Bombyx mori: one gene and its partner. The protein of the gene in region 1 interacts with the protein of each later gene in a biochemical or structural test. Links are inferred from orthologs where the notes say so. Each region holds a gene or a part of one and is shown on either strand. Other genes may lie near its edges. The genes, in order: bromodomain adjacent to zinc finger domain protein 1A and chromatin-remodeling complex ATPase chain Iswi.

Region 1 (16,466 bases):
ACATTTACATTTTTTCTGCTTAAGGACAAGTAAATTACTTAATTTACTTGTCCTTAAGCAGAAAAAATGTCATTTGTCATTAAAAACAAAATTATTCAACCATAGTATTATCATGTCTTTCATGAGTGAGAAAATATCCAAGTCAATCAATCAGACAGACAATCTCACGGACACAAGGGGGCTTGGCACTTTTGTGTCTGTGCACTATAGGTACCTAAACAAGAACATCTAAGGGCCCCTGAATGAGGAGTTTTGTCAAAGCTCTCTGCCGACCTTTAAACCGAGCGCCCGAGGGTCTGGGCGTGATGAATACTCACTTCCTGCCGCGTTTCTTCCCCGAAGGAGGGGTGGTCCCGTTCTGCAGGGGCACCGCGTCGTTGCTGTGGCGCTGTTTCCTCTTTTTCAGTTTAACCAGAGTCGTGTTGTAATCGCTGTCTTCTGACTCTACACATGAAAAAGCAATTAAAATTTAATATATGTACAATATTTATTTATTTAATAAAAGTTACTAAATTTTTTAACCTTGCTTGTTGATAATCTTTTTTACTTTTTTATCATATAACAAATTCATAGATGGCACACAGCATAATGTTTTTGAAGCAATATTTAGTCTATGGATATTGCCTACAATCTTTGTTAAACAAAAATTGAAAAACATTTAAAATTACTCTTCCACATTTTTTTGTCCCAATTTTGTAGTAAAATAATGTAATTTGTTACATGTGAGTAGTAATCACTATAAAGCAGAACACAAATTAAATAGCTTTCTAGTCTTGATTGCTTTTTATAGAATTGTATCTTCCTTATAAACTTTCTATTTATTGTTCTCAAATATTAGTTTGTACGTCAGATATCTACTCACTAGGCGGCGCAGGTAAATAATATGAGATCACGGAACAATATTAGGAAAAAGCAAACTTAATTTCTACAAATTGACAAAGAGGAAAGGTAAGTCCTATTTCTAACAAGCAATCTAATTATTTAGATGAGCAATGGTTTGATGGTTACAAACAGAAGAATCAGTTCGGAAATCGTGATTAAGGAAATGAATTAATAATCCATTTGCGTGTACGAAGTTTGATTTCTACATCTATCGTTATCACATGCAGTCATGCTACTGACATTGTTATTACTATAAAGCATTTTTATTTGGGACGGAAATGAAGATTTTCTATTACCTACATGGGTAATTACGAAGTAGTCAGTGCTCACAGAAGCGCATAGAAGTCGCAACAACAATGCGACTTTGAGACATGAGGTCAATATCTCAATAGTGGTCTCAATGAACGATGTGGACAGATGGGACAGCCCACCCTTAAAACAAGAAGTTTTATGTGTTTTATAGAAACATAAACAGTAAAATATGAGTTGTCATTGGGTACTAATGAAAATGTCAATAGTTTAGTTTAAAATTAAAAGCAATCTGATTAACGGTTGTTCGCCATGAATCAAAGTAACATTCAAGTCACAAAACAGGGAATGCACAAGGCGAGCTTACGAAAGAACATATGGGTCATGTCGAAGATATGTGACTTTTCTTTACAGTAAAAGCTCTTTACTCGCGGGCTATATGTTCCGTAAATATACCGCTAATACAGAAACCGTGAATACGGAATGGTCTATCACAATTTTTGTAACGAATGGAAATATCAAACAATAAAACACGCAAAGCGGCTCTTATCCATAACGTTCCGTCTCACGTGTCCGCATTTAAAAATATACTTTAGGCAAAGTTGTAATAAGGTCCATTTTACTTTTTTATTAATCCATTTGACGACGCTTTTTCAAAAGATAAGTAGTCAGTATATTATTATATTGGAATCATGTCTATCAACGCATACGTACCTATGTATCAATTAGATCCGCGAATAAGGAAATCTTTAGTCGCGAATATAGGAATTTGGTCGCATTTTTTTAATCCGCGCATAGTGAAAACGCTACCGAAGGAAGCGCGAATAAGGATCTTTTACTGTGTATTTCAAGATGGCAGTCGGCTTCTTGCATTGCCACTACTATCAGCGACGAGCATACAGTTCCTATAGTTCAACGGGAGATTTATTGTAAAGATACATGTCGCAATGAAGGCCTACGCGACAGGGTTGCCAAGCATAAAGTAAACATTTTGCGAAGAACGTTGTAAACCAAAGAAAAGCAATAGAATAAGAACAGGATTTATGAATGAAAGAACAATGCACCAATGACGGTGAACGGGAGACATGCCACGGGGGGGGGGACCTCGCGTGATCCCGTGCTACATCATCTTAGTGCATCAGGATAGAGCGTCAACATTCCGGGTGCATCCATGTACAAATCTGCGTACTAGCTATATAGCTTCAACGGAACGTGCATTTTTCATAAAATTAATTAACCGCTTGGCTGTATGACAGAAAACTATCAGTTTGATTATTGTGACGTCATACGGTAGCAGACAGATAGAAGGCCTGCGGCGTTTGAATTCAAGTGTAAATATTGATAATTGTGTTTACACTTAAAGACGATGAAGGAATCGCAATGATTCCCGTACAATCACATTGTATTATCATTATCAGATCACGGACAGAAACGAAACGAAAATTGTGGTCCTCCCGCCATTGCTTAGTAATTAAATGGTCCCATATCACTAGCCATTCTATCCTAGAAGCACGTTTACTAGTGCGCAGTACACAGAGCACTCCCATAATGACTAAAATGATGTATGCCGGGGGGCGTTGGGAGGGGGGACAGAGTGTGCCGGGGGGCGTTGGGAGGGGGACAGTGTGCCGGGGAGTGGTGGGAGGGGGGACAGTAACGCACCGGAGGAGGGGCTCGCGTGCAGCGCCCTCGTGTACTGGTGGATGTTGGACAACGCGGTGGCAGCACAGCGCCGGACGCTCGACATCGCTTCAACATCGAAATTATCATTTTACAATTATGTTTTTGTTTCGCTGACTCTACATGTCGCTAACTGTGGCTTAAATATCAATTATCCTAACCATAATTTTAACAACCATTTTTTACAGCGAATTCGAATGTAAATTATAGAATACAAGGGTTAAAACGTTATTGTAATCTTTATTTGGGTTGTCAAAAGATTTTTTTCATAATAATCATACGTCGATACCAAATTCTACTGTTTTACAGCCCCTAGATCTATATTTTTTGTTATTTAGTATATATGTGTATGCATCTGTGTTGTCAATTTTTTTTATATAGACGTTGGTAACCCTAATAGTTGGTACCTCAAGACCTACGTATTGTCTAGTCTGGGGCGTCTGGAAATTATAGTGAAAACATTTCTTGACAAAAGAATATATATTTTTAATATTTCATAGTGCCTATTTCAGATTTCGTTTGGTTCTATCTATTCAACTACATGTATATGAAGATTCTTTTAAGAATTGAACTAAAAAAAGAGAGTTTAGTTGTCGACACATAGCTACCCTCGAATTCCTGTATGTACACATAAAGGTTAGGACAGAGACCTCTGGTGGGCGCGAGGCAGGCGGCGCAGAGCCAGCGCGCGGCGCCGGGCGGGGGGCGCGGCTCGGCGCACTCTGCGTGGAAGGCGGCGGCGCAGGCGCGGCACGTGGCCCGCAGGCGCCCGCCGCTGCCGCACGCCGCGCACACGCCCGCGTCGATGCCGCCCTCTTCATCCTCGCACTCCTCCGCTTCCGCTTCGCTGTCATAACATTGCCAATCAATCACTTGCAACTTTACACTATTTTAAAATTCTGGTGGTAGGACCTCTTGTGAGTCCGCACGGGTAGGTACCACCGCCCTGCCTATTTCTGCCGTGAAGCAATAATGCTGTTGAAATTTATATCTAAATAATCAACATTAAATACTGTTAAGTACTGACATCTGTTGTCACTAATGTGAAACTAACCTATATTGGTATTTGTGTGTTTTATCTGTGTATATTTTTTTGAATGAATAAAAACCAGTTCTCATTTGAATCTCAACGTGCTAGTTTCATTAGAGGTTATGGACCCAGAATTACGTGTTTTTTCCGTCAAGAACTTGCAAGTTAATGCTGTATAAGTTTGTGTGGACTGAGAATACACTGTGCCGGTGAAAATGAGTTCGAATTACGTTGTAAGCGTGCCAAAATTAAAAGGTCGCGAGAACTACCAGGAGTGGGCTTTCGCCGCGGAGAATTTTCTGATACTGGAAGGTACTTCGGACTGTATTAAAGTCACGAATCCAGATGAAGCCGCAGCCGATGCGAAAACCAAGGCAAAATTGATTCTAACGATTGACTCGTCGCTATATGTACATATCAAGGATGTCGAAAATACGAAGAAACTATGGGAAAAATTAAAGCATTTATTCGATGATTCAGGATTTACTAGAAGGATCAGCTTGTTGAGAACTTTGATATCAATTCGTCTTGAAAATTGTACATCTATGACGTCTTATGTTACTCAAATCATAGAAACGAGCCAAAAATTGAGTGGATCGGGCTTTCATTTTAATGATGAGTGGGTAGGATCATTGCTTTTAGCTGGATTATCTGAAAAATATTCGCCAATGATAATGGCGATTGAACATTCGGGCATTAATATAACGGCCGACGCCATTAAAACAAAATTGATGGACTTGGAGGAAGACAGTGGCGACGTTAGCGGAGCATTTGCGAGTTATCGAAAAAAGTATGGCGCCAATACCGGAAGAACTCGGACGTCAACATCAATGTCAAAACAAAAAGTAATCAAATGTTACAAATGTAAACAAACGGGACACTATCGTAATCAATGTCCTAATGATGTAAAAGATTCATCAAATAACAAATTCAGTGAACGTAAACAAACAAATGCGTTCAGTGCCGTGTTCCTAAATGGTTGTTTTTCGAAGAATGATTGGTACATTGATTCAGGTGCTAGTGGCCATTTGACAGCGAATGAACATTGGATTACAAATGTGTCGAACAATCATACAGTCCAAGAAATTGTTGTTGCGAATAAAGAAAAAGTGTCTGTCAAGTGCTCTGGTGATGTGAGATTAACAACATTGACAGATAACTGTGAGTATGATGTGGTTGTTGAAGGAGTATTATGTGTACCTAGTTTGACCACGAATCTCATCTCCGTAAGTCAATTGATTGCAAAAGGCAACAAGGTCCTGTTTAAAGATGATGGCTGTCAAATATTTAATAAGTGTAATGAGCTAGTTGCTACAGCTTGCTTATTAAATGGAGTTTATAAGTTGAGAATACCTGAAAGGCTGGCTGCAATGGTGACCTCGAGTGAAATTTGGCATCGTCGGCTTGGTCATGTCAACAGTAACTATTTAAGTAAAATGCAGAAAGCTGTGGAAGGTCTTACACTTGATAGAAAGGTAGAAATATCAAAGTCATCATGTATAGTGTGTTGCGAAGGGAAACAAAATCGTTTACCCTTTCCACATAATGGAAATAGAAGTGATGATCTCCTGCAGATAATACATACGGATGTATGTGGGCCATTCAAGAATGTGTCGCTTGGTGGTTCCAGATATTTTATTTTATTCATTGATGACTATAGTCGCTACATCTATATTTATTTTTTGAAAAACAAAAGTGAAGCTTTTGAATGTTTTCAAAGATACAAAGCTGAGGTGGAGAATAAATTAAACAGAAAAATTAAGATTCTTAGAAGCGACAATGGGAAAGAATTTGTGAATAAAGAGTTTGATAATTATTTAAGTAAAGCAGGAATAGTTCATAAGAAAAGCAATCCATACACACCAGAACAGAACGGCTTGGCAGAGAGATTTAATCGTACTGTGGTGGAAAAGGCAAGGTGTCTGCTCTTTGATGCTAAAATGGACGAAAGCTTTTGGGCTGAAGCAGCCAATACTGCTGTATACTTACAAAATAGGATAGTGGTGGAAAATTTGAATGAAACACCTTTTGAGATGTGGAATGGAGTAAAGCCAGATATTAGCCACTTAAGGGTATTTGGAAGTATAGTGATGATGCACATTCCAAAAGAGAAGCGCCTCAAATGGAATAAAAAGGCTGTAAAAGGGATTCTAGTTGGTTTCCCAGAGGATGTAAAAGGTTATAGAGTCTACAATCCAAGCACTAAGGATATCACAACAAGCCGTGATGTGATCATTATAGAAAATGCCAAACAAACAGAAAGTGTAGTCCAGATTGAGGAAACTGAACAATCACAATCCAGTGAGGATTCAGTGGGAGACACATCGTATGAATCAGGAAGTGAAATTTTTCATGATGATAATGATGAGACTTATGTACCAGATGATTCTTCTGATGACAGTGTGGAAAGTGTTGTGAGTCTTAAAAGAAGTTATTCCTCTAGGCAAAGAAAGAAGCCGGACAGGTATGGTTATTCTAATATGTGTTTAGAAAATAGTGTTATTCAAAATGTTTGTGAACTTTCACTTGATGAGGCTCTAAAAGGACCAGATAGGGAACAGTGGTTAGAGGCAATAAGGGACGAATTACAGTGTTTTGAAGATAATGATGCTTGGGAACTTACTGATGCACCTAAAGACAGTACTATAGTTAAATGTAGATGGGTTTTGTGTAAGAAATATGATAGTGAAAGTAAGGTTAGGTTCCGTGCCAGACTTGTAGCTAAAGGTTTTTCCCAGAAACAAGGAGTAGATTATAAGGAAACCTTCTCGCCTGTTGTTAGACATACAACATTACGACTTTTGTTTTCACTATCAGTCCAATTAGATCTAGATGTTACACATTTAGACGTAAAAACTGCTTTTTTAAATGGTAACTTAGAGGAGACTATATACATGCAAAAACCTGAATGTTTTAATACCCCAGATAACTATAAGAAAGTGTTAAAACTTAATAAAGCCATCTATGGCTTAAAACAGGCGTCCAGAGCCTGGAACAAAAAGGTAGATAGTTGTTTAATTGAAAATGGTTATAAGAAATCTAAATTAGAACATTGTATGTATACAAAGAAAATTGAAAATATGGTAACTATAGTGGCCCTTTATGTCGATGATTTTTTTATTTTTTCCAATAATAAAAAGGAAACTAATAGACTGAAGGAAATATTGTCAAATAAATTTAAAATTAAGGATTTAGGGCAAGTAAAACAGTGTCTTGGGATGAATGTTAAATTTGATAAAAAGGAAGGGTCTGTTACTTTAAATCAAGAAAGTTATATTGAGAGTTTATTAGAAAAATTTCAAATGGCAGACTGTAAGACTGTTGAAACTCCAATGGAGACTAAGTTAAATGTAAACACTGGTCAAAATGTAACTAAACAAGTGCCCTATCAGCAGCTTATAGGTAGCCTAATGTACCTGTCGGTCTTAACCAGACCAGATATAACTTACTCTGTAAGCTATTTAAGCCAGTTTAATATTAATCATACTGATGAGCATTGGCATTATGCTAAGAGGATTTTAAAATATTTAAAAAGGACTAAATCATTTGGTATTAAATATTGTAAGAATGGAAATAAAGAAATTAAAGGTTTTGCTGATGCTGATTGGGCAAACAATACATATGATAGACGGTCATATACTGGTTATTGTTTTTTGTTATCCAATGGAGTAATATCCTGGGAATGTAAGAAACAAAAAACAGTAGCTCTTTCAAGCTGTGAAGCTGAATACATGAGTATTTCAGAAGCATGTAAAGAAGCCATATATTTAAGAACTTTGCAGTTTGAAATCACAAATAAAATGTATACTTTAAGTTTGTTTAATGACAATCAGAGTGCACAGAAGTTGTCGATGAATCCAGTATTTCACAAACAATCTAAGCACATAGATGTGAAATATCATTTTGCCAGAGAGTGTGTTTCAAATAATATAATAAAATTATACTATTTGTCGACTGCTGACATGCCCGCTGACTTGTTTACTAAAAGTTTGTGTGCTAAGAAACATTATGCCTTTATGGAGTTGTTAGGATTGGTGATTGTGTAAAATGTTACCTAATATTTTTTTATAAATGCTTATGGTTATGATTATTAGATATAGTGGGAGTGTTGAAATTTATATCTAAATAATCAACATTAAATACTGTTAAGTACTGACATCTGTTGTCACTAATGTGAAACTAACCTATATTGGTATTTGTGTGTTTTATCTGTGTATATTTTTTTGAATGAATAAAAACCAGTTCTCATTTGAATCTCAACGTGCTAGTTTCATTAGAAATGCGTTTCGGTTTGAAGGGCGGGGCAACCGTCATAACTATACTTGAGACCTTAGAACTTATATCTCAAGGTGGGTGGCGCATTTACCTTGTAGATGTCTATGGGCTCCAGCAACCACTTAAAACCAGGTGGACTGTGAGCTCGTCCACACATCTGAGCAATAAAAAAATAAAACAAAAATAAACTGTTCCATTTTAAATAATTTTCACCTGTGTTATGAGAGCGCAGAAGATAAACACAAAGTAGAGAGATAAAAAGATGTGACCGTTTACATGGACATAAACGAACTTTGGCGGTGTGGTGTCATCCTAGAATAGCATGCCCGTGTTTTGCTTTGCGTGTCCTGGTAGTCCTTAGTTCAAAGGGAGAGAGCCAGAGAATCGGCGACGCGTTATACAAACGCACTGCGATCATCAACCGACTTTTACTGTTGGTAAGGTGTATTGCAAGCTTACACGGCAGTGGTGCATTCTGATTTGAAGCTGGGACCGTAATGTTATGATCTATGTGTTGCAGTAACCAACTATTTCAAAATATTCAATGAAAGGACTTGCCTGTTCGGTGGTTCTTCGACATCTTCCTCGGAGTACAGTTTCCTCTTCTTCCTGGGTGACCGTTTATGTTCTTTCGGCTTGCACTGATCGCAGAACCAATCGCCTTCCGGTACTTTCTGCATTTTTAAATCATGTTGAAAATTATGTAAATGGTACTTATTTTTATATAATGGTGGATTTTAATGTTGACAAAGTTACAAGTTAAAATATTCAGAAGACGTATTTAAAATTGTGGACATACGAGATTGTTAACTCATCATTAATAAATGAATAGTGTAATTATTAGATATTTAGTATCCGCTCGTGCAGACGTGCGATTTTACCTTAAGTTCGCCAGGCTTTTGTTTGCATGAAAGAAATGGATATGCTGATTTAATAAATCACTTTGGAAATTGCCTCTATGAGATTATTATCACTATTTCATAATGTTACATGTGGATTTTCGAATTGTTTCGAAATGTTCTTTTTTATTGGAACGAAGTTCCTTATCGCGCGTTGCGAAAGGGGGCTATACGGAAAAAAATTAAGCCCAAAAGTTGTAAAGACACTTTTTGCTATAGTTGTAAGCTGTGCGGCGTGCGCATGTTTCTCCGTCTGTCTCTCTCTCTCATAGAAAGCAAGCTAGTTATTTTATTTTTCGCTTCGTCTTTTACATTGTGTGGTCCAACAGTGTGGTGTCGAGACGATTATTTTTGTTCAGTGTATACAGGTTTTTTGTACATACAAAACATTATTATAACTAAAAAAATATATTTTTTTATTACAACTCCTTCACTAATTAATCGAAAGGAGTTTCGTTCCATCCGGGTGTCCCTTGCCACTTCTCAACTGCTTGTACCTGCAGCGGCGGCGTGAGGCAGTAGAGGTGGTGGCCGGCGTTGCAGGCGTCGCACAGCAGCATGGCGTGCGGGTCGGCGCGGCGGCGGCACAGGCGGCAGGCGGCGCGCAGCACGGACGCGCGCCAGCACACGGACGCGTGCAGCGCCGCCGCGTGCAGCCGCGCGCCCGCCGCGCTGCCGCACTCCAGCAGCGACACCTGCCAGCGGGCCAGCGCGCCACCCTCCGTGCTGCGCGCCCGCCCCTTCTCGTCCCACCCTGCACAACCAACCGGAACGATACAGACGCGGCGCAGACACGAGACGAAGGAATCACCTTAATTACTTCTAAGATCACTTCCCAATCGAAAACGAAGGCAATGTATATATCAAATGAGTATATATCTATATATTTTATTACTTAGATGGGTGGACGAGCTCACAGCCCACCTGGTGTGAAGTGGTTACTAGAGCCCATAAACATATATAACTGAAATGCGCCACCCACCTTGAGATATAAGTTAAGTTAAGCTAAGGTCTCAAATATAGTTACAATGGCTGCCCCACCCTTCAAACCCAAACGCATTACTGCTTCACGGCAGAAATAGGCTGAATGGTGGTATCTAACCGTGCGGACTTTGAAGAGGTCCTACCACCAGTAAAAAATCAGTAATAGTGCAAATCGGTGTTGATCTTATCTATTAGAATTGTTCCAACTGTTTTCATCAGTCCACAACACATAATGATAGCCCGCACTAACCCAGAGGCCGTTTCAAGTATTTGGCGTGTATGGCCTGGGAGACCTGCAGCAGGGCGCAGGCGAGCCCTCGGATGACGTCACGCCTCGCCTTCAGCTCGTCGCCCTCTACCTTGACTCCGTTCACCCTGGCGGCCTCCAGGTAGTAGCCGGGGTCGCGGTATTTGTTCACCGGTATCGACTCTAGCTCTGTTTCGTCAAGATCTATTGAAATACGAAATTAAAATGTTTATTATCTATTATAAATAAAATTGGAGTGTCTGTTTGTAATATTGAAATAACCGCTTTTTACAACATGCATATGAATATATATACCACCGTACATAAACCAAAATAACATTTTTTACAATTTTTGTCTGTCTGTCTGTTTGTTCCGGCTAATCTCTGGAACAGCTGGACCGATTTTGACGGGACTTTTACTGACAGGTAGCTGATGATATAAGGAGTAACGCTACTTTTTTAGACTAGCTTCGCCCCGCGGCGTCACTCACGATACGACAATAACCGCGGGTAACATCGCGGGACTCAACTATTCAATAATAAAATTTAATGTTTCCGAAGCGCAGCGAGGGCGGGTCGCTAGTTAAGAATATAATAAGACTATTCCAGAATGACGGACATTCTTTGACTGACCAGACTTGCTGGCAGTGAAGTGATATCACGTAAATGATTTTCTTTTTAAAATATTGGCTTAATATCGAATGTATTTAGCAATGCAACCTTGTGTGGGATTAATTTTTTTACCTTAATGACCCAAATATTATACAAGTAAATACCTTGAGGAATATTCAGAACGCCGTTGGGCTGGTGATAGTCATCTCTGTACATTTGGTTGGGGCCCCAGGTCAGGTAGTCGGCTTGTTTGTCGTACCCGCGCAGCATTATCGTCCCGCGCCACGCCTCGCGGTCCTGTTTGTATTAGCAAGTGATTAGTTAACACCGATTAATACAATTAGGGTTCAAGGATCATAAAATAATCTTATTTATTACTGATGGTAGGACATCTTGTGAGTCCGTGCGGGTAGGTACCACCACCCTGCCTATTTCTGTCGTGAAGCAGTAATGCGTTTCGGTTTGAAGGGTGGGGCAGCCGTTGTGACTATGCTTAAGACCTTAGAACTTGTATCTCAGGGTGGGTGGTGCATTTACATTGTAGATGTCTATGGGCTCCAGTAACCGCTTAACACCAGGTGGGCTGTGAGCTCGTCCACCTATCTAAGCAATAAAAAAAAACACTAATAAGCAAAGAGGAGAAGTGGTCAAAATTCGACCATATTCAAGTTCATTTAATATGCAGTAAGAGTCAACAATATGAAATACCTTTCTTCACATTAGTTTCCCTTCCTAATTCCTTGGAATTGGGAACCGTAATCAGGACTGGCCAGGTAAATATTAAAGACAACACCCACCTTAACTTTAAGGGCTCCAAGGCATCCGTAGTGAATCTTCTCCTCCAGATCGAGGATATAGTCGCGCAGTACCAGCTCCACGGCCTCGGCCAGCGAGGAGTCGCGCGGCACGGTGAGCGAGGGGGGCGGGGGGCGGCGGCGCGTGTAGTGCGGCGCGGGGGGAGGGGGAGACTGCGGGAACGCACATTGTTATATTCTAAATGTAATTCCATAGTACCTACCAGTCCTTCTGCTCTTGTCTTTGTTCTTTTTTCTTTTCATTCAGTAAATCTTAGTGTTGATAAGAATTCACAGGATCTACTATCTTTATCGTGTAACTAGTCATCATCTTTTTTTTTATTGCTTAGATGAGTGGACGAGCTCACAGCCCACCTGGTGTTAAGTGGTTACTGGAGCCCATAGACATCTACAACGTAAATGCGCCACCCACCTTGAGATATAAATTCTAAGGTCTCAGTATAGTTACAACGGCTGCCCCACCCTTCAAACCGAAACGCATTACTGCTTGACGGCAGAAATAGGCGGGGCGGTGGTACCTACCCGAGCGGACTCCCAAGAGGTCCTACCAACGGTAAAAATTGATTCAAAGGTTCCCATAGCATATAAAGCCCTGTAGTGTTCTTTAGTTGAGTTACACCTGGCTCGTTCATATATCGATAGTAAGTATAACAACTCACACTAGCAGCAGATCCATTGAGGTACTTGACAGGACATTTCCTCAGGTACTGAATGATGTTGTCCTTGTCCAGCTCCAGGCTCTGTCGGAGTTCACTTTCCCTAATACCGCGCTTGTTTAGAGACTGGATCAATGCTTCTATCTGTTCCTCTGTGTGGTAGACCCACCATTGGGGCCGGTCGACCTGATAATTAATTGTGTTATATATACTATTTAGAGATTTGTTCATATCGGTTACTTGTAATGATAAGTTCAAATCTTGTTTATTAAGTAATGGATTGTAATTTTAAATTTAAGTCTACTGAAACAAATGTCTATTATAGAACCCTATTCCTTTTTCAGATCACATAGGAATCTAGTTTTTGTAGCCATTTCTAATACTTTTTATGATTTTCCATATGTTCCCCTTTATGTAAAACGGTATATGAGTCGTCTATTATCAAAGTTGGCAATCTGTGAATTTGGACAAAAAAAAATTATTGATATGTCAATACAGATTGATTTGAATATAATCGTCTCCTTCAAAGAATACGGTTCAAAACCTGCATTAAATAAAGGTTAATAGTTAACCTGTTATTTATCTAAGATGTCGTTCCGAAGAGTTTTGTGACTGCCAATGGAATACAAAGTCAATAATTCGTTTTTCTGATTTACCAATCATTGTCCAAAAGTCAGATTGCCGGCTTTGATAATAGTCGACTCATATTAACTATTATGTAGACTATATTATAAATTTGTAAAACTGAATTTACAAATAACTTCTGCGAAATTTGTGTTATCGTTTCTAGTGTAAGTGTTGTAAGACTCACCTTTCCATGCACTTTGCACGTAGAAAGATCTCCGCTGCAGATCAATAGCTGTTGTGTGATATCATCGAACCCGTTCCTGTGTGTTAAGCCATTGATGTTCGTGAGCGGTTTCTTTGGGGAATTCCCCCGTGAATTTGCTGCCGAATCATTTTCTTTATCACTACTCGCTGAAAAGAATATTTTTACGAGTGTAAGAGACATCAACAATCACTTAAACTCATGTCAGAAATAGAAAACATTTAATTGTTTAAATAACGTTATTCATAATGCAAACAGGTTGCAACGAATTTAGTTTAATATTAAATGCATTAAAAAAAATATCGATACAAATTAAGCTAAGCTTAAGTTGAGGTCTCTGATATTAAATTTCCAATTATTAGTCACGGTTGTAGTATTTTAATTTTAGTTATGTAAAAGTGTCTACATCATTATTTTTAGACATTTGAGTCGTCTATTATCAAAGGTGGCAATCTGTGCATTTGGACAAAAAAATGTTATTGATATGTCAATACAGATTGATTTGAATATAATCGTCTCCTTCAAAGAATACGGTTCAAAACCTGCATTAAATAAAGGTTAATAGTTAACCTGTTATTTATCTAAGATGTCGTTCCGAAGAGTTTTGTGACAGCCAATGGAATACAAAGTCAATAATTAGTTTTTCTGATTTACCAATATTGTTCAAAAGTCAGATTGCCGGCTTTGATAATAGACGACTCATTTATGTATATGCCCAACATAATAAATATTAAAAGTTTTATTCCTTACTTATGACTAGGAATTCCCGTGGCTGTGTATGATACATAGCTTTCTATGAAACAGTAATGACACTCACTGCGTGGATTTCATACCTCTTTCCTTTTCGGTTTCAAACAATCTAGTGACATAGGTGAGGGTGTCCTCTCCGTGCTCAGGAGCGGAAGGCAGCGGCTTGTCGCGGCACGGCCCGCGCGGCTCCGTGCCCGCCTCCACGAACAGCCCGGCCACGGCCTGGTTGAGCCAGTAGCGACGGTAAGCGCGATCCATGCCTGCGGAAAATAGTTATGTTCTCAAATCAATTTTCTTTTCAGCACGTCCAAGTGGAGTTTTTGAAGTAAAACTTCTTTAGAATCGTTGTGATTTCAAACTCGATGAAACGAAAAAATATGTCCATAGAGACATGTATAGGATTCAGCCAGCGAGAGAATGAGATAGTAGGAGTGGGTGATATAAATCGTATATAGATTCAATATCTATATATCGCAGCAATATCGTTGAATCCGATATCGCCCCGCACGAAATCTATATATCGATATCAGCCGATACACGATATTGCTCGATGTGATGCGCATCGGCATATCGTACCGATTCGTGAATCGAAATCTATATTTCGATATCAGCCGATACACGATATTGCTCGATGTGATGCGCATCGGCATATCGTACCGATTCGTGAATCGAAATCTATATTTCGATATCAGCCGATACACGATATTGCTCGATGTGATGCGCATCGCCATATCGGACCGATTCGTGAATCGAAATCTATATTTCGATATCAGCCGATATACGATATTGCTCGACGTGATGCGCATCGGCATATCGTACCGATTCGTGAATATCAGCAATATTCGTTTGGTTCGTATCGAATCGGCCAGAGTGAGTGAGCGCACGATAGGGATATCATGTGATGAATGAAACAGAAACAGGCATTATCCATACAATTGTAAACCTTATATTTAAGTCCATATGTCTGTAGATTATTCTTAGCGTATCAGCAGGATACAATTAAGGAAAGAAGTTTCAACTTTCGACCCTAACTTGAATGCAGTATAGCCTATTTGCATCGTTGAATTTAATTTCACGCGCTTTGACCTTGAACTACAATTTTTGGACAAGTGTTTATAAATACTTAAAAGTTTTTTGTGTCAGATTTTTAAAGTACATATTTTTCTATTTTTAGTTGAATCCAAATAATTGAGTTTATTTCTTGTGTTTGTATTAAACTTTTGAAATCTACACTCTTTTGGTATATTTTGTAATTTTAAATTAAGACATAAAATACTAAAAACTGAAAATAATGTAGCCAGTCCTAAGCCTGGTAAAAGCATGAAGGAAAGTTTTTTTGATATTTTTATTTTCATGTTCTTTTTATTACTTTAAGATCATATTATAAATTGATATCAGAAAAACAACCGTATAACGTTGACTTAAATCTATATCTACTACGATATTATATCAGCGTATCGTTTCAAATCTCAAATATCATGAATCGAGAAAATCTACTAGCATCCATCAATATATAGATTCAGAAAATATATAGATTCAATATCCGATATTGATCCTCGATATATAAGTTCTGTAATTGACTCAACTAACCAAGATAAGAAGAATAGTCGAACAATCCGATTTGCAGTTCTTTTAATTTCTTTTCGTACTCTTTCTTTTTCTCGTCGTTTTCTTTGTTCAGCTTCTCTGTGTCGACTTTAAGCTGTTCGTCTATAGCTCGAGCTTTTTCACCAGAGAGCTTGTTCTCCTCTTTTTTAGCTGCAGCTTCTTTCTTAAGATCTTGTTTCGACGCGAGCAGTTGCGCTTCGCGTTTCCTTTCGTTTATCTGAGGAAGAAGGATAATTGTTATGTTTGAAATAAATGTTAGTGTGTCACTGGCCGTCTCGAGTATCACTTGTCCCCATACGCGCTACACAACAATAATGCATTGAGCAGCCCATCTCGATAACAACTTATGAACAATTATAACCAACATTTGTTATCGTTAGACTTATACCGGTTTGGAAAATAGAAATGGCAGTGGAAAAGATAAACTGAAAATTTCGAATTTAGTACTAGTACGAGCATGGTTTTATTGAGATTTGGATTAATAGAAAACAAATAATGTTTCATTATACCTGTAAAAGTCTCAAAGCTTGCTTAGAATTCTTGTGTTCCTCGAGTTTTTCCTCAATGACATCACGGACGGTCGCGTAAGTCAGTATCTGGTTCATCAAGCACTGGAGTATTTCGAATTTGTCATCTGAAAACAAGATCAATACATGTTTTTTTTATTACCTAGTTTAATGACCGAGAGGGACGCTTTTCTAGTCAATCAGAGCCTCTAGACATCGCAATGTGAATACCGCCCCCACCTAGTTCTACTATAGCCATGTAGTCATCAGTACACCGTAGTACCATTCAAATCGGAACGCATTATTACTTTGCGGCTGTAATAGGGAGGGTGATAGTAGCTTTCAGGGCGGGCTTACAATACGCTCTTCCACCACTACATCACCCCGGTCATCGTTCTCGTCGAACCCGTCGCCTGCGACGAAGGGTTCGACGAGTAAATTAAC
Region 2 (16,968 bases), on another chromosome or scaffold:
GTTTGTTTGTCGCCAGTTCAAAAATGCGGGTTTCATTGAAAAATCCAAATTGAAAATGTATTGTAAGATGAACTGTTTTTATATCTTTGAGGTATTGATACCATTCTGCCATTCATTTGCACTTGTACTCTTGTCTAACTTAGTGTACGCAGACGTCCATTGACAGACATAGACCTTGGATTTGTGCGACTTTTACCAGGTCCACTCTAAAACTTTTTGGCTCCCACGACAATCAGTTCGTCGAACAATGTGCTCTGCATATAACCAATTTAACCTCGCAATCCTTCGGGCCATGTCGGTTATTTTGGTTTTTTTTTTAAATCTCCTCATTCCTCATTGGATCTGTCTGAAGTCTTAAGGTATTGCGTACAAAATTGCATGTGTTATTTAATACAAATGGTAACTGGTTAGGGTTCGCTTGTGGGATCTTGTAGTTTTTATTTATTTTTATTGCTTAGGTGGTTGGACGAGCTTACGGCCAACCCGATCTGAAGTTACCGGAGCCCATAGACATCTACAACATAAATGCCGCTACCTACTTTGAGATATGAGCTCTAAGGTCTCGTTCTGTACAACGGCTGCCCCCTCCTTCAAGCTGAAACGCATTACTGCTTCACGGCAGAAATGGACAGGGTGGTGGCGGTGCCTACCCGTGCGGACTCTTAAGACGTTCTACCAACAGTAATTACGTAAATTATAATTTTGATAAAGTAAGTAAACTAGGTACTCAGTTTCCTCTTCTATAGTCTTTGCTTTCTCGCGGGCAACTTGAACCTTATTGTTCAGTTGTTTCATAAATTAGAGTTATATCTTTAGGCGTCGTTACAGACGTTAGACTTTATAGATATTAGTTTCATTTATGTAGTAGGTATACAAAATTTTGATGCAAAAATAAGACAATAGATAAAAGGTATTTTTAATTTATTTCGTTAACACTTCATATGGGTGGCAGAGATTTCCTGCCGATGGTGTATTAGTTTGAATCTAAGTTTTCAATTTCGCTAAATTGTAAACAAATTATGTGCAAAATTTTTAAATAATTTTATTAGTTACTTTGTCCTCTAACTATTCGTTGGCCTAGAGGCTATTCCAACTACGCGCTGCTCAAACTGAGACAATTACTAACACTGGCCCTAGTAAGAGGAGTGCTTCGCTGAATCTACTACCGAATCGGAATCGCGACCCACTGAGAAGAATCGACGAGAAACTCAGTGGGTTGTGTCTCTAGGTATATCTAGGTATATCTTCGTCATAATCGACGAGTTCGACGAGGGGCAGTGACCAGTGCTTGGAGACCCTAAAAGCACTGAGTGCCTATCCGAGAGATCCGACAAGGACATGTTTCGTACTCGGATATCTAATTAGCGGTGGACACGATAGCGGTTATCGTGTTACGCCGTTTTTTCAAATTAGTTAATTACTATTAACGTCCGCGGTTCCATACGAGTTCCATGTTTTTTGCGTTTATTTATTACATACAATATTTGGCGAATAAAAATAACTCATTCTTCTGTACCTACGAATGAGTCGATAGAAACGGTGGAACCGTATTAACCTGGACAAAAGAGACAAGTTTTTAAAACGAGTGTTTGTATTTCAGTTAACTCCAAATAATCACACAAGGTTTTGTTTTTTAGTTAAAGTATCCTTTATTTTGAATTTAACGAACATGTTTTAAATTTCATTTTTATTAATATTATTACAGCTTTGTACATAAGCTGTTTTAAACGGACGAACTCAGCCTTCTTCTTCTTCGTCGGTATCGCTCTTGACAGAGTGGTTGTGATCATCAGTTCATGTATTGGTAGCAAACTTCACAACACGCCGCCAGTCTGCTCTGATAGTCTCCCTCCTCGTGCATTCAGTGATGATGACCCATTTACTGCCTCTTTATATAGACTCGTTGGTACGGAATTCAGTCCACTGGAAACTCACCAAGCTACCTCAATATCAAGAAATTCTGCCATGAAAAATATTTTCAGTTCATTCATATTTTTCTTTTGAGACCTAAAGAGAACTAAACTTATAAATCTGGCACTTTCTAAGAATTATGACTATGAAGACTATTAAATACAGTATCAGTACAACTATGATTTTTCCTTGATCTGTTTTCGATTAAGCTACAAAGATAACTTTCTTTCTCTTCAAAATTATCTAGTTGTGAATATGTTTTCCATGGCACCTGAAACATGTATAGGGTTTAGTTAGACCTGCTTTAATTATCTTGAAAATAATTACTGTCAAAAAATCTAGTAAAGATTTATGATTATTATGATGCTAATTCAATAAATCTAAATACTATTTAATACCGATAATGCATGCTGTAAATTCGACTGAGTACCACAGTCATCCCTATTTCTGCCGCTAAGCATTCATCCACAGCATAATGGAAAAAGTCATATGTTGCGGTATACGGTTATGGGAATATATTGCAGAAGGCATATGACCTTCCGGCTTACACAGATGTTGGCTGAATACAACTATATCGGTCGGTACATCGTCGGTCGCAATACCGAAAAGAAGCCGACGACGGAGTGCCACCATTTTGGCTGCAACAAGGACACGGTGGATATGTGATGGCATACGCTCGCAGTTTGCGGTGTCTCAGAATGGCATCATCGTGTCGTGCTCCTATCATATTTCTAATATGGTACAATAAAATTATTTTTAAAAAGTTTACCAATATTGGAGTGTAGCCTAAAGCTGCAAGTTCTCGAATTTTTGTCTGAAACTGTCCTGTAGGTACATTACAGTTCTGAATTAGAGAATTTTTTCCACCTATTATAAGTACAATCCAATCATTGTCATCAGGAGGCTTCCGAATATACCCAAATGTATCATTTTTAAATGCTTCTTTGACTGGCATAGGCTTTCCATTGTGATCATTGCAAATGATTATATCTATAAATAAACATTGTGAACATTATTATACCATAATAGTCACATTTGACCATTGACAATAAATTCAAATTCAAATTTACTTTTTAATTTATTACCATTTCTGTTTGCATTGATGTGAAAATCACTTTAATATACATTAGGCTAAAAAAAAGCTACTCTAGCTAGTGTGATTTTAATTTATTTTAATTAAATTTCGTATTAAATAACTTAGCACTAGATAAGTCTGTTTATACCTATCTAACCTGATTGGCAAAAGTTCAGTCAAACATTGGTCTATACAACTGTTTTTTTTTATGCCTTTAAAGGTGGCACCAGAGGACAGTACACTTGAGGTTGAGCAATTCACCTAAATCCTTATTGAAGATCACCACAAATAGTGAAACATGAGATCTTTGTATAACAGATGTTTTGCACTTCTCATCTGCTTGAGGTTACTTTGTGTGAAAAGTGTGCTGGATAGTGGTGGGGACCCATTGCTTTATTTTATTACACAGTGCAATTGTTTTATTGTGGAAGCTGCGCAATAACAATCATTGGTCAAGTAAAAGAATTTAGTAAAATATATGATGTACTTGAAAACATCCCAAAATATATATTTTTTTCAATCATTACAATCATAAGATTGATGTGGTGGGGGTTTAGTCACAAATTTAAGTTTCGCAAGCTTATTCCTGTCAGTACAAAGGAATTAATCAAGAATGATTTTAGATATGTAAACCAGATGCATATTTCATACAACTGACCTCCTCTTTGATGGTGGGTTAAAATATGTTCAGCTATGACATAATTTTGGCCGCCTCGACAATCTCCCAAAACTTTCATAATATCTAGCATCATTTTTTCACTAATATTGTACTGTTTTTTGTAATTTTCAGATGGTACATAATCTGTATATTTTTTTGACAGGAGGAGCACAGCTTTTTCACTAAGCCGATTCATTGCAGACTCCCTGCAAAATATCTCTGCACTGTTATGTAGGCTTAATAATTCTTTACCATAACTAAACATGTGTTTGCCATATGTATTTTCTAAAAACTCTGGGCTTAAAGCTTTACTTATTAAATCTACAGGATATATCCCTACCAATCCAAAAAATGATATACAGCAACTGTATGACTTTCCATGTTGTGAAATCTCAGGAAATCTTTCAGGTTTTTTCAGTTCTTCAATTACTTTAGAAAAAAAATTATCTTTCGTAGCTGGTATTAAATTAAATGTGCCATATGTAAAAATTAATCTTTCAAGGTCTTTTAGTCTTGTTTCATGCATATGATCCATTATATAATGGGCTATTTTGGTAAGACAATCATTGTGTACTGTAAGTGATGATGTTCCAACTAGTGCTAAATGTACATTGCACATTACAGAAAGCCTTGTGACTTGATGTTGTAAAACATCTAGCAGTGAAAATATTTCATTATTTTTATTTTGCTTCACTGAATATCTAATGATTTTTAAAATAGCAGCTAGTGCAACTTCATGAACATGTTCAGAATCTTCAATAACTTTATTGATTATTTTTGAAGCAAGCTCCATACTTCTTATAGGACATTTACTCTTAAAAAAACCCATGCTCATTATGCCAATGTCTTCAACTGAAAAACATGCAAAGTTTTTAGAAAAATGAATTTCTAAATTATGCATGTCATGGGGTTGTTTACGTAGGACTCCCACAAAAAATAATGTTTGAACTAGTTGTCCTGGTGTTAGTTGATTTGCTTTAGTTGCTAATTTATTTATACTTTTCCAAGAAAAATCACTTACTCTTGTAACATTCAACATAAAAAACAATGATATAAAAGATAACATTTCATCGTGTGACCAATTTTTTAATCGTTTTAGGCATTCATCATCAAGTGCAGCCCATACCTCAATATAGTTTCTTGTTCTAATCGATGCTGTTTCTGGCCACATGTTTAAGGAATAAAAAAGAGTTTTTAATTGTGAGTCAGTAGCCATTTGTATGGTATCAGTTAGATTGTCTATGAAATTATCAAATATTTCACTTGATATGCATAAGCTATGTTGTGAACAATATTTTCCGAATATAGGGAATATTTCAAAAATTTCTTGGGTTGTTTTCTTAGTCCAATCTTCTTTATTTAATCGCTGAAACTCTTCTTGAGATATAGCTTCGCTAGAATGTTTTGTATAAATATTTATTGCATAACCTTTATTTTCTAACACACTGTATGCATATTCATTCTCTTTTTCCATATACATTTTAATGAATAGCCCAGTACTACTATGAATAGATCGCGTATAACCTGGTTTAAGCTTAAATTGTGAAACACACTGCAGTCGAAAAATTGATGTTATTAACAGTTTTCGCCCAATATTTATAAAAGTACTCATATTTAAATATTCTTTAATTCACAAAATCAAGTGAACCCTTTAATCTAGTATTTGTGCATGTTATCTCCCCATTATTATTTACTTCAGTGTTTTATTTTATTCCTACGTTAAAATCTGGTTTATTGGTTATGTCAAATGTTTTTTTTTTTTAAGAGATTTTATGACCTGGTAACTGAGACCTTTAAGTCATGTCTTATTTTACTTTATATTCTTAATTTTATGAAAAATGATAATATGGAGTGAAATGAAATGAAGATGATTAATTTGAAACATTAATCAACTGGCATGAAATTTAATGAAATGAGATGATATGGGATGAAATATAATCGCAGTAAAATGGTGGTCATTTACTGAGATTTTTTCAGTGGACTTTTTGGACGAACCCGAGAAGTTACGTCCAGCAGCTTTGTTTCATTTTCCCACATTTGTGCACTTTCACAGATATTAAACAGTTAATAAACCACCGTTATTACACATTTAAACCTGAAGAAACACTAAATAGACAAAATAAAACAAATCACACAACTTCACTCCTCGCGTTCCCGCCAAAAAGTCATGTCAAATGTCATATTCGCACTTCACAGTAGGTACCTACTTCACACACACTTCCATAGACCTATATACTTCAGTGCACACTTCACACTCACAGGCTCTCTCGTCTCACGCTTTTTTTTTCTGGCCTGTGGCCTAGCCTTCTACGAGGTCCCCGCGCCTAGGGGGCGCGTGGAACATCAGTGGCTGGTAAGCATCTGCGTCAGCCGAAAGGTGAGACGTCCGCGGTCGCGGCCCACACAGTCCGTGAGAACCGGGCGCACCGCTTCGACGATGCGGACGGTTCATCAAACGACGAGATTGTGCCTCCAGCATGGACCGCTGAGATTAGAGCCTCCGCGCTCGGATCACTCCTACACCAAGGCACCCTTCCCCCTTAGAGCGAAGACGTCTCACGCTTTGGTATTACCTTTTTTCTGCCTGTTCTAGTAACCTCGAGGGGTTATTCTAGATTCACTGAACTATTAAGTGAGCTCGCGGGGCTTAAACCTGAAGCTGTTGCTAACACGAACCGCTTGCCGAGCCTTTCGTCACAAGCGACCGATCGACGAGAACGATGACTGGTGCTTGGGGTACCTAAAAGTGCCGTTAGGGGATCGGGAGGATCTGAAATGACATATTTTGGGCGACGTTGACTGTTTACCATTTGGTCCGCAGGATCGGAAATGTAAAAAGCGGGAACGCGAGGTGTGAATTTATTTAGAATTTTAATTTACATACTTACATATTCTTTGGATTTAAGTGTGTATTAATTGTGGCTTATTAGCCATTTAACGTGTAAGTTCACAAACTTAAGACTGCATTTAACGTGTTTAGATTTTTTTGTTTGGTTTGTATTAAGCTATTGCATAGCTTTTATCGTGGACTTTGAGCGCGGCGACTGAATTAAGAAATTCCGTAAGGAAAATAAAATCTAACAACCCTCACTCAGTCTACGATGTAGCTCAAACATTCACACGTTGCGCTTGTGTAGTGTTTGTGAATAAACGCGCGGCGCGACGTCGCACTGCATGCGCATCATGAAAAGTCTGCCCATCTCTCTCTCGCGCGGTCTATGTAGCCCTTATATGAGTGTGAAGGGGACAGTTACCTAATGTTTTGCTTTTGTTAATGTTTATAAATATAGCGTGGTCTTATTTTATTATTGTTTTAATATTAAATTATTATTGTCTAATTATAATTGGATAAGTTGATAAAAAATGCTGTGCAAATAGCTTTATCGTGGCAGTCCCCGAGTGCTACACGTGTTTTTTTTTTGTCACATTTAAACAAAAAATATTTTCCCCTCATATTATTCGATTCCGTTGCATTTAATTACGTTCATAATCATCTTCCAATAACTCATCATCATCGCATTCCGGTCTATTTATACTTTTTGTCCATTAGAAAAAAGATTTGGCCTTTAGAACACATCAAGATTTGGCTTAAAAGACTAAAATTCAGGCTGTCAAACACTTTTAAAGGTGTCCTTTGCCTAAATAATTAGCTATAGTGTTTGTGACACTCTGTGATAATTTTTTGCTTTTGTCAGTTTGCGATTTTCGCGCCCGGTTGTAGTGTAATGTAATTACATTAATCTTCAATTGTGAACAATATTTAAACAATTCAGTCAATAGGTATACATTGTACTACAAAATGTAAGAATTTATTGAGTTCCAACAAGTTGAAAGTGTTCTTCTTTGGTTTTCATACATACTTTAATCTTCGAAGTATCTAGTTTGTAATGTTCGTATGTTTTCAGCCTTCATGCAGTCAATTTATAACTAAGTTGTTCAACCAGTGTACAATTGCTGGTTTCTGGTTTATTTGAATATATTTTCTAACTTCGCAATCTTGGTCATCTAGTTCAATATTGTTTTAACTGTAAATAAAAATGGCCCAGTCGGATGATGCCATGGACGTTGCCGATATTGGCGACAATTCCGTGAGTAGTTTAATTTTTTTATTAATAAACTAACTAACTGAATTTTACTTAAACTAAAACATTTAATGAATCCAGACTAATATTACCACACCCAATTTTATGAATTCAGAATGGCTCTTCAAGTGACACGACATCTTCAAGAGGGAAAGAAGGTGATTTCGAGAGTAAGATTGAAACTGATCGTTCCAAGAGATTCGATTTTCTACTAAAGCAAACGGAGATATTTTCTCATTTTATGACCAACACTCCAAAATCTGGTGGGAGTCCTCCAAAACCAAAGGCTGGCAGACCCAGAAAGATAAAAATAGATACTGAACCTGAAGGTCCTGGAGAGTGAGTATCAATATTACAAAGTATTACTTGTGACAAACTATAACATCTGTGTATCAATAATGTAAAATCTACTTGACAAATTATACAAGTATGGTGAAAAAATATAAATAGTATTATGTCCACTGAATGCTGTTGAAAGATAGATTAATAAGATTTCAAAACTTTTTTTTTCATGTGTCAGTCACAGACATAGAAAAACTGAGCAAGAAGAAGATGAAGAACTTCTGGCAGAAACAAATTCAAAACAAAAGACAATATTTAGATTTGAAGCATCTCCACATTACATAAAAAATGGAGAAATGCGGGATTATCAAGTTAGAGGGCTTAACTGGATGATATCATTGTATGAAAATGGTATTAATGGAATTTTGGCTGATGAAATGGGTCTAGGAAAAACTTTGCAAACAATTTCTCTACTTGGATATATGAAACATTTTAAGTAAGTTCAAAATTGTTACATATGAGTCGACTATTATCAAAGGCGGCAATCTGACTTTTGGACAATGATTGGTAAATCAGAAAAACGAATTATTGACTTTGTATTCCATTGGCAGTCACAAAACTCTTCGGAACGACATCTTAGATAAATAACAGGTTAACTATTAACCATTATTTAATGCAGGTTTTGAACCGTATTCTTTGAAGGAGACGATTATATTCAAATAAATCTGTATTGACATATCAATAAATTTTTTTTGTCCAAATGTACAGATTGCCGCCTTTGATAATAGACGACTCATATGTAATGTTCAGTGTGTTATAAAATATATGCAAACAGTTCAATATATTTATGGGATTTCCAATTTAAGTGCCTGTGTACCCAATACACAAAAAAATAAAAAGTTTGATAGCAATCAAGTGTAACAACTTTACTTCTGCTTTGTATTCAAACAGTACAATAGTAAGTTATGTTATCATTTATTGCCTAGGTTGTATTATGTAAGTTAAAGGTGTGATTATGGCTTTGTGATAGTAATAACTAGTCTTAGGACAGGTTAAGTAGTAAAAAAGTCTGGACGTGTTTTTTTTTAATTATTGAAATCCTAAACTTTTTTGTATAAAGTATCTGTACCAACAGTCTAGAGACTATCAAAATCACTTGGTAGGGTATGCTATGCAATGCAGACCATGATTAATGATGAGTCTTAGTGTCTGCCACAGTGAAGCTTTAGTTGCATGGGCAGTTCCATGACATGTATCTTGAGCCCATTGGAAGAACTGTTGCACCAGTTGGGATTACTGTTTTGCTGATTAATCAATTTTTTGTTTAGATAATTTTCTCATGAACTGAAAACATGTTAAGTGTCAAAGTATTTTTATTTTTTTATTTATTGCTTAGACGAGTGGACAAGCTCACAGCCCACCTGGTGTTAAGTGGTTACTGGAGGCCATAGACATCTACAACGTAAATGCGCCGCCCACCTTGAGATATAAGTTCTAAGGTCTCAGAGTAGTTACAACGGCTACCCTACCCTTCAAGCAGAAACGCATTACTGCTTCACGGCAAAAATATGCAGGGTGGTGGTACCTACCCATGCGGACTCACAAGAGGTCCTATCAGAAGAAAACAATATTAGTATCCCAATATTTTGGGATCCCCAGTGTACATCTACTCAGAATCATATGTATAAAGCTACCTATGATTCTGAGTAAGATTTTTAGTTGGGCACTAAAGCCATAAAAGATTGAAAGTAGATTTTTAAATTATAAATTTATTGTCAGTGTAAAGTATATGATTTTCACCAAGCTTTGAAGTGCCTGTGGCCAATAAGAAAATGTACCCAGTGTATTTGCAATGATCTGCATGGTGAAATTGTTAAAATACTGCAGGCAGTTATCAATGCTTCTTAAAGTAAATAAAGTAAAGTAAGTCCCTAACCCACATTCTGGAGTGGATTTCATGACAAAGGCAACACCATCATCATGTTCTAAAGGATAAGAGATATGTACAGCTTACTCATGTCAAGTAATGTCATCTTACCTGTACTGGCAGGTAAGATGACAATTTTTATTAGGAAATTTGGTTTTAACAGTGGGTGTGTTGTAACAGTGTTGTTTGTTTATACTTTAAATAAAGACACTGGAAAAGATATGTCGTGAATGTCTAAATAAGTATTAAAAAAAATTTCAGAAACGTTCCTGGTCCTCACATAGTAATTGTACCAAAATCCACTTTGACAAATTGGATGAACGAATTTAAAAAGTGGTGCCCTTCACTAAAAGCTGTGTGTCTTATTGGTGATCAAGAAACAAGGGTATGTATAATGTTCATTGCCATTTAATATTTATAGCAAAATTTTAATATATCATAATACAAGATATTAGTAGAATATTACCAAAGGCAAATAAAGTGATTAGAATAGCAAAATTTGACTAAGTACATAAATAGTCCTTTTGAAAAGTCTGTATATCATTAATATTCCACATTACACAGAAAGAAGAGAAACCGTTAACAGCCATTATAGAGCAATATAAAACCTTGTATAGAATTGAAAAAAAACATTGTACATTATTATTTTTAGACTTCATTTTTCTGATTATATTGTATTGCACTATTATATGTTTTTTTTGGTACTTGTTCTACAAAAAAAATATGTATGCTAAAAATATATATATATATATTATGCAAAAAACTTGTGTGCAAAGCTTAACCTAGACTAGTTTTCTTAAAACAAATATAAAATAGACATCACTTTAGACTAGATACAAATTAAAAGTATGGTAGGAAAATGGATTAATAAATAAATATGTTTCAGAATACATTTATCCGAGAAACCTTGATGCCTGGAAACTGGGATGTTTGCATTACATCATATGAAATGATTATAAGAGAGAAATCTGTCTTTAAAAAGTTTAACTGGCGTTATATGGTGATTGATGAGGCTCACCGTATCAAGAATGAAAAATCTAAATTATCGGAGCTGCTTAGGGAATTTAAGAGTATGAACAGGTTGCTGTTAACTGGTACTCCCTTGCAAAATAATCTCCATGAGTTGTGGGCACTATTGAATTTCCTTCTGCCTGATGTTTTTAATAGTTCTGATGTGAGTAATAATACAAGGAAATGCACAATGGAAAAAATGCAAAATTAATGAATACTATTTTAATTAAATATTATTTTCATTAACCTTTTTAACATTCAATGTTTTTTTTTCTGATATTCTAGGACTTTGACTCATGGTTTAATACAAATGCAGCCCTAGGTGATAACCAATTGGTTTCACGTTTACATGCTGTACTAAGACCATTTTTGCTTCGGAGACTCAAATCTGAGGTTGAGAAAAAATTAAAGCCTAAAAAGGAATTAAAAGTTTATGTGGGTTTGAGTAAAATGCAAAGAGAGTGGTATACTAAGGTTCTTATGAAGGATATTGATGTAGGTAAGTCAGAATATGTTCATTATGCCGAATAACAATGCCTTAAATGTTTCCCTAAACATAGGTAATATGTTTTCTAGAAATGGGTTTCACCTGTCAAACGGTTAAGAAGTCACAATAAAACAATAGGTAGTTAATATATCCATAGTCTTGAGGTAACTAGGAAAGCATCTGCTATATGCCTTTGCACTATATTGTCCAAGATATGAAATGAAAAGTTTATTACTTAAATTAGTCATATTTAACTTACTTTGGAAATTTACTATAATTTACTATAATCATAGATTAACTGAGAATAAAGTAAATATAACTAATTTTTTCTACAAGTGCTATCTTCTAAAGGAGCTTGGAAAGCATTACAGTGACTTTAACCTTACACAACTGGTCTGAGGTTCTTTTGTTCCATTGGTTTCTTTTCTCTTTACAGCTAATTAATAAATAATACGTATAAGAATAATAGATAACTCTCCAGCTTTAGATCTTTTGTTTCGACATGTCTTTGATATGAACTGTGACGTTTCATGGCTAAGATTTTGCATTCGGTGTCCGAGATACTTGGGTGATGTTGAGTAAGGGCAAGATACATCTACACCTGTTGTCTTAAGTTTATTTGCTTATTAATAAATTAATTACCAATTTGTAATAATTTTATTACCTATAGTAAATGGTGCTGGAAAGGTTGAAAAAATGCGACTCCAGAACATTCTTATGCAGCTACGCAAATGTTGTAACCATCCTTATTTATTTGATGGCGCTGAGCCGGGTCCACCGTACACAACTGATGAACATTTAGTATATAACTGTGGTAAACTTACTATACTGGATAAGCTTTTACCTAAGCTTCAGGAGCAAGAGTCGAGAGTACTTATTTTCTCACAAATGACTAGGATGCTGGACATCTTAGAAGATTATTGCCTTTGGAGGCAATATAAGGTAATATTAAGCATGATTTGAAAAATTTTTTTTGCTAGCTTTTAATCTTTATTTAGCTGCCTTTAAATGTAAATACTGCATCCACAGACAATGCTGTAAATTAACTCTTCATAAAAATAAATGCATAGCATATAACTTAAAGCTATGCAATATTGTAATTTTTTTTATAGTATTGCCGTCTAGATGGTCAAACACCACATGAAGATAGAAATCGACAAATAGAAGAGTATAATATGGAGGGGAGTGAGAAATTTGTTTTTATGTTATCTACACGAGCTGGTGGTCTTGGTATTAACTTAACATCAGCTGATGTTGTTATTATTTATGACTCTGATTGGAATCCTCAAATGGATCTGCAGGCCATGGATAGAGCTCACCGTATTGGTCAGAAAAAGCAGGTGGGTTTAACTTAAATATGTTTTGGCAGATATAATTTTACAACTTTTGCACACCGGTAAGATTAACTATTAGTGAAATTTGTAAAATAATTTATTAATCTAAATGTTTCATAGGTCAGAGTGTTCCGTTTGATAACAGACAACACGGTTGAAGAAAAGATTGTAGAACGTGCGGAAGTGAAATTGCGCCTGGACAAACTTGTAATTCAGTCCGGTAGACTGGTCGACACTAAGAACCAGCTGAACAAAGATGAGATGCTCAACATGATCAGACATGGTGCCAACCACGTCTTTGCGTCTAAGGATTCTGAGGTTACTGATGAGGACATCGATACGATTTTAGCTAAAGGAGAGAGCAAGGTATTGTAATATAATATAGTAGGAAAAAAAAGCTTTGTAATACAACCACTTGCTTGACAACATGTGTTAAACTAGTTTTTTTTTTAATATACTATTATAGACTGAGGAGTTGAAGCAGAAATTGGAGAGCCTGGGCGAGTCGTCCTTGCGAGCATTTTCAATGGACACTCCTGGCGCGACCACCGACTCAGTTTATCAATTTGAAGGTTGTCCTCAAAACTATTTGATAAAGTGAATTTCACTTCAGTTTTGAACTGATAATTTGGTAAAGTATTCAAAAATCTATTATTTTATACTCACAGTGTTAATAATATTATTATGCCCGTTTAGGCGAGGATTACAGAGAGAAGCAAAAAGTTATCCCAATGGGTAGTTGGATAGAGCCGCCTAAGCGCGAACGTAAAGCTAATTATGCCGTGGACGCCTACTTCAGAGAGGCTCTACGTGTATCTGAACCGAAGGCGCCAAAGGTACAGGTAAATAAGTGTAAAGAGCTAAATCGGATTCCTCAGGAGTCCTCCTATTGGCGATTGTTGGTATTGGTATTCATTTAATCATTTATGTAACAGTATTTTGATTAGCTCTTTATACTGGTATTTATGTATGCCTTATATAAATATTTAGCTTACATAGTAGATTATGAATATCTCGTCTGTTTTGTAAAAGACTCTTCTATTTTAATTTTGTGAATTGCATTGGACAAGAATCCGAAGAATAGGAATGTAGATAAACCAAAAACAAAGAATCAAAATATTCCTAATGGATAGACATTTAAGTAAAAGTCCATATAAAAAAAATTACTTTAAAAAAGTAGTTTTCATAAATAAATAAAAATTATTACATTATTATATTATTGATCTAAATTATAAGCAATAAGTTAAAGTTGCAAATTTGTCAACATTCATTCAGAGCGCGTATTATTTACTATGTATTTATTTATATCTATTCATACATATGCATAATAATATATCACGCAACTAATCAGAATAAATATATAATTAGCTTTATATGCACGCTAGTTACATAGTTATTTATTTTTTCATTTCATAATGAACATACGTTTTTAAACAGGCTCCGCGTCCTCCGAAGCAGCCCATCGTACAGGATTTCCAGTTTTTCCCACCACGACTTTTTGAGTTGCTTGATCAAGAAATATATCATTATCGCAAAACCTTAGGGTGAGATAATTTGTTTATGTTTTTTTTTTTAAATACATGTATAAAAGTATTCAAAACTTACAAATACATACTTGCAATTTGTTTATTATTTATTTCATAACCACAGATATAAAGTTCCACGTAATCCAGAATTGGGTCCAGATGCAGCGAAAATTCAGAGAGAGGAACAGAGAAAAATAGATGAGGCAGAAGCGCTTTCTGAAGAAGAAGTCCAAGAAAAAGAACAATTACTAACTCAAGGTAAAACCATAAAAGTTACAACCATTAAAATTATTGAATAGCAGAAAATTTGAAATTATACTTATTATATAATTATGTTTTGCATATATTATGTACTGAAATGTAATGAAACGTGTACTTTGTAGGTTTCACTAATTGGACAAAACGTGATTTTAACCAGTTCATAAAAGCAAATGAAAAATACGGACGAGACGATATCGAGAATATTGCAAAAGATGTTGAAGGAAAAACACCAGAAGAGGTATGGTGGAATATTAATCGCATTTACTTACATTATTTGTTTAATCTTTGTTGTACACATGAAATAAAATATGAAAACTGTGTACTTTTTAAAAGACACACAGACAAGCTGAACTGGTTAGTTTTTGTTCAGCAAATATTCAAACTACAGATAGGGTGACAAAATATATGAAATAAGGATATTGTATGACATACTAATTTAATAAAATGAAAGATGCCTTTGTTATAAAAACATTAAAAATTTTCATTGCATTGATTGATTTGACATATCAAGGGTAATGTATACATATAAAAGAGAATGTATCTATATTTACCTAAAATTAACTTAGGTAGTTGTTAGCTTTCTGCATCGTCTTATGGCTTTTATGTTTTAATATAAAATTCCATTTTGCTGCGTGCAAGCGCAAACTATACATTTTAATTGTGTGTGTAACATTATCGTGTGTTCATTAATATTTAATAAATGATAAACTATTGTTTAAAATTTTTTAATCTATTGGTTAAGTAAAAAGTCGTTAGCGAATATAAGTACGTATTTAAAGAAAATGGTACTTTTGGCATATTCGCATCGAGTGATACGAGTATACTGGGCATCTCTTTTGGTTAGAGTTGGACCAAATAACATCAAAATCTTATAATTTGATTTAGGTCAACAAAACACAACTCATAATTATAAACTTACATGAAATCATAATAAACATAAAAATCTATTAAAAGCTTTTCCTTTATAGGTTATGGAGTACTCAGCTGTATTTTGGGAACGTTGCCACGAACTTCAAGATATAGATCGAATTATGGGCCAGATCGAAAGGGGCGAGGCTAAAATTCAACGACGAGCCTCTATTAAGAAAGCGTTGGACGCTAAAATGGCGCGGTACCGAGCACCATTCCACCAACTTAGAATCTCTTATGGAACAAACAAGGGCAAAAATTATGTTGAAGAGGAAGACAGGTCAATATTTAAGTTTCAAGCAATTAATACTAAAACAATAATAAAACAAGACCACTCTATATTTATAAACATTAACAAAAGCAAAACATCAACTGTCCCCTTCACAGTCATAAGTTAGACCGCGCGAGAGAGAGATGGGCAGACTTTTGATGATGCGCATGCAGTGCGACGTCACGCCGCGCGCTTATTCACAAACACTACACAAGCGCAACGTGTGAATGTGTTAAACTACATGGTAGGCGGAGGGGGGTGTTAGGTTTTATTTTCGTTACGGAATTTCTTGATTCGTGCGCCGTGCTCAAAGCCCGCGATAAATGCTATGCAATAGCTTAAAAACAACGAAATTTATTTTACAGGTTCTTGGTGTGCATGCTGCACAAGTTAGGATTCGATAAAGAAAACGTATACGAGGAACTTCGGGCTGCGGTACATTCCGCGCCACAGTTTCGTTTCGATTGGTTTCTAAAGTCAAGAACAGCCGTCGAATTACAACGTCGGTTAGTATGGCATATCTAATCTATACATATTAATAAAATTGGAGTGTCTGTTTGTAATATAGGCGGCACTGAAAATTTCGGGAATTAACGAACTGACACAACATTACTATTTAAAAATGTATTTATTGCTTTTCGAAGTATTCTCCGCGAAATTGGACACATTTTTCCATACGATGGAACCAATCATTGAAGCAACCATTCCATTCGGAAGTTGGGGTCTCCAAAATGGCCGTTTTGTAGGCGTCCACAGCTTCTTCAGGTGATGAAAATCTCTGTCCACGCAATTTATTCTTTATTTTAGGGAAAGTATAGAAATCATTAGGGCTTAGGTCGGGGCTGTACGGCGGATGGTCTAATAATTCTATGTTTTCTTGCTCTAAAAACTCTTTTGTTCTGTGCGCGGTGTGAGAACTCGCATTGTCGTGATGGAGGATGATGCGGCGGTTGCAGTTCTCTTTACGGAGTTCAGAAACGACCTGTGGCAAACAAATGCTAGCATACCATTCTGCATTAACCGTTCTTTGTCCCTCAAAAGGAATAGTCGTAACATGGCCGATTTTGGAGACAAACGTGGCCACCATTTTTTTTGCAACACTCCGTGAACGAACAATTTTTGTTGGCCTTAACTCATTTTCGAACACCCAAACTCGTGACTGGTTTTTTGTTTCGGGTTCGTACGCGTATATCCAGGATTCGTCACCTGATACAATGTTGTATACAGCATTTGA

The links.
Region 2: the proteins of bromodomain adjacent to zinc finger domain protein 1A (region 1) and chromatin-remodeling complex ATPase chain Iswi form a complex in vitro, tested with the Drosophila melanogaster proteins (3 studies listed by BioGRID). The link is inferred for Bombyx mori from reciprocal best matches to the Drosophila melanogaster genes Acf and Iswi.

What each region holds. Positions count from the first base shown.
Region 1 is NC_085131.1:1,100,166-1,116,631, reverse strand, and holds part of bromodomain adjacent to zinc finger domain protein 1A, read right to left. Parts: intron 16,151-16,466; coding exon 16,026-16,150; intron 15,734-16,025; coding exon 15,499-15,733; intron 14,169-15,498; coding exon 13,992-14,168; intron 13,308-13,991; coding exon 13,141-13,307; intron 12,516-13,140; coding exon 12,333-12,515; intron 11,827-12,332; coding exon 11,656-11,826; intron 11,156-11,655; coding exon 11,023-11,155; intron 10,451-11,022; coding exon 10,250-10,450; intron 9,770-10,249; coding exon 9,513-9,769; intron 8,791-9,512; coding exon 8,675-8,790; intron 3,659-8,674; coding exon 3,462-3,658; intron 2,881-3,461; coding exon 2,794-2,880; intron 445-2,793; coding exon 318-444; intron 1-317.
Region 2 is NC_085119.1:7,651,911-7,668,878, forward strand, and holds the start of chromatin-remodeling complex ATPase chain Iswi, read left to right. Parts: upstream 1-7,249; 5' UTR 7,250-7,445; intron 7,446-7,549; 5' UTR 7,550-7,681; coding exon 7,682-7,732; intron 7,733-7,841; coding exon 7,842-8,065; intron 8,066-8,246; coding exon 8,247-8,504; intron 8,505-10,196; coding exon 10,197-10,320; intron 10,321-10,821; coding exon 10,822-11,109; intron 11,110-11,231; coding exon 11,232-11,445; intron 11,446-12,103; coding exon 12,104-12,375; intron 12,376-12,545; coding exon 12,546-12,773; intron 12,774-12,887; coding exon 12,888-13,133; intron 13,134-13,233; coding exon 13,234-13,339; intron 13,340-13,463; coding exon 13,464-13,609; intron 13,610-14,204; coding exon 14,205-14,311; intron 14,312-14,417; coding exon 14,418-14,551; intron 14,552-14,676; coding exon 14,677-14,792; intron 14,793-15,522; coding exon 15,523-15,743; intron 15,744-16,099; coding exon 16,100-16,240; intron 16,241-16,968. Other genes in the region: FAST kinase domain-containing protein 5, mitochondrial, read right to left, coding at 2,456-2,901, 3,645-5,256.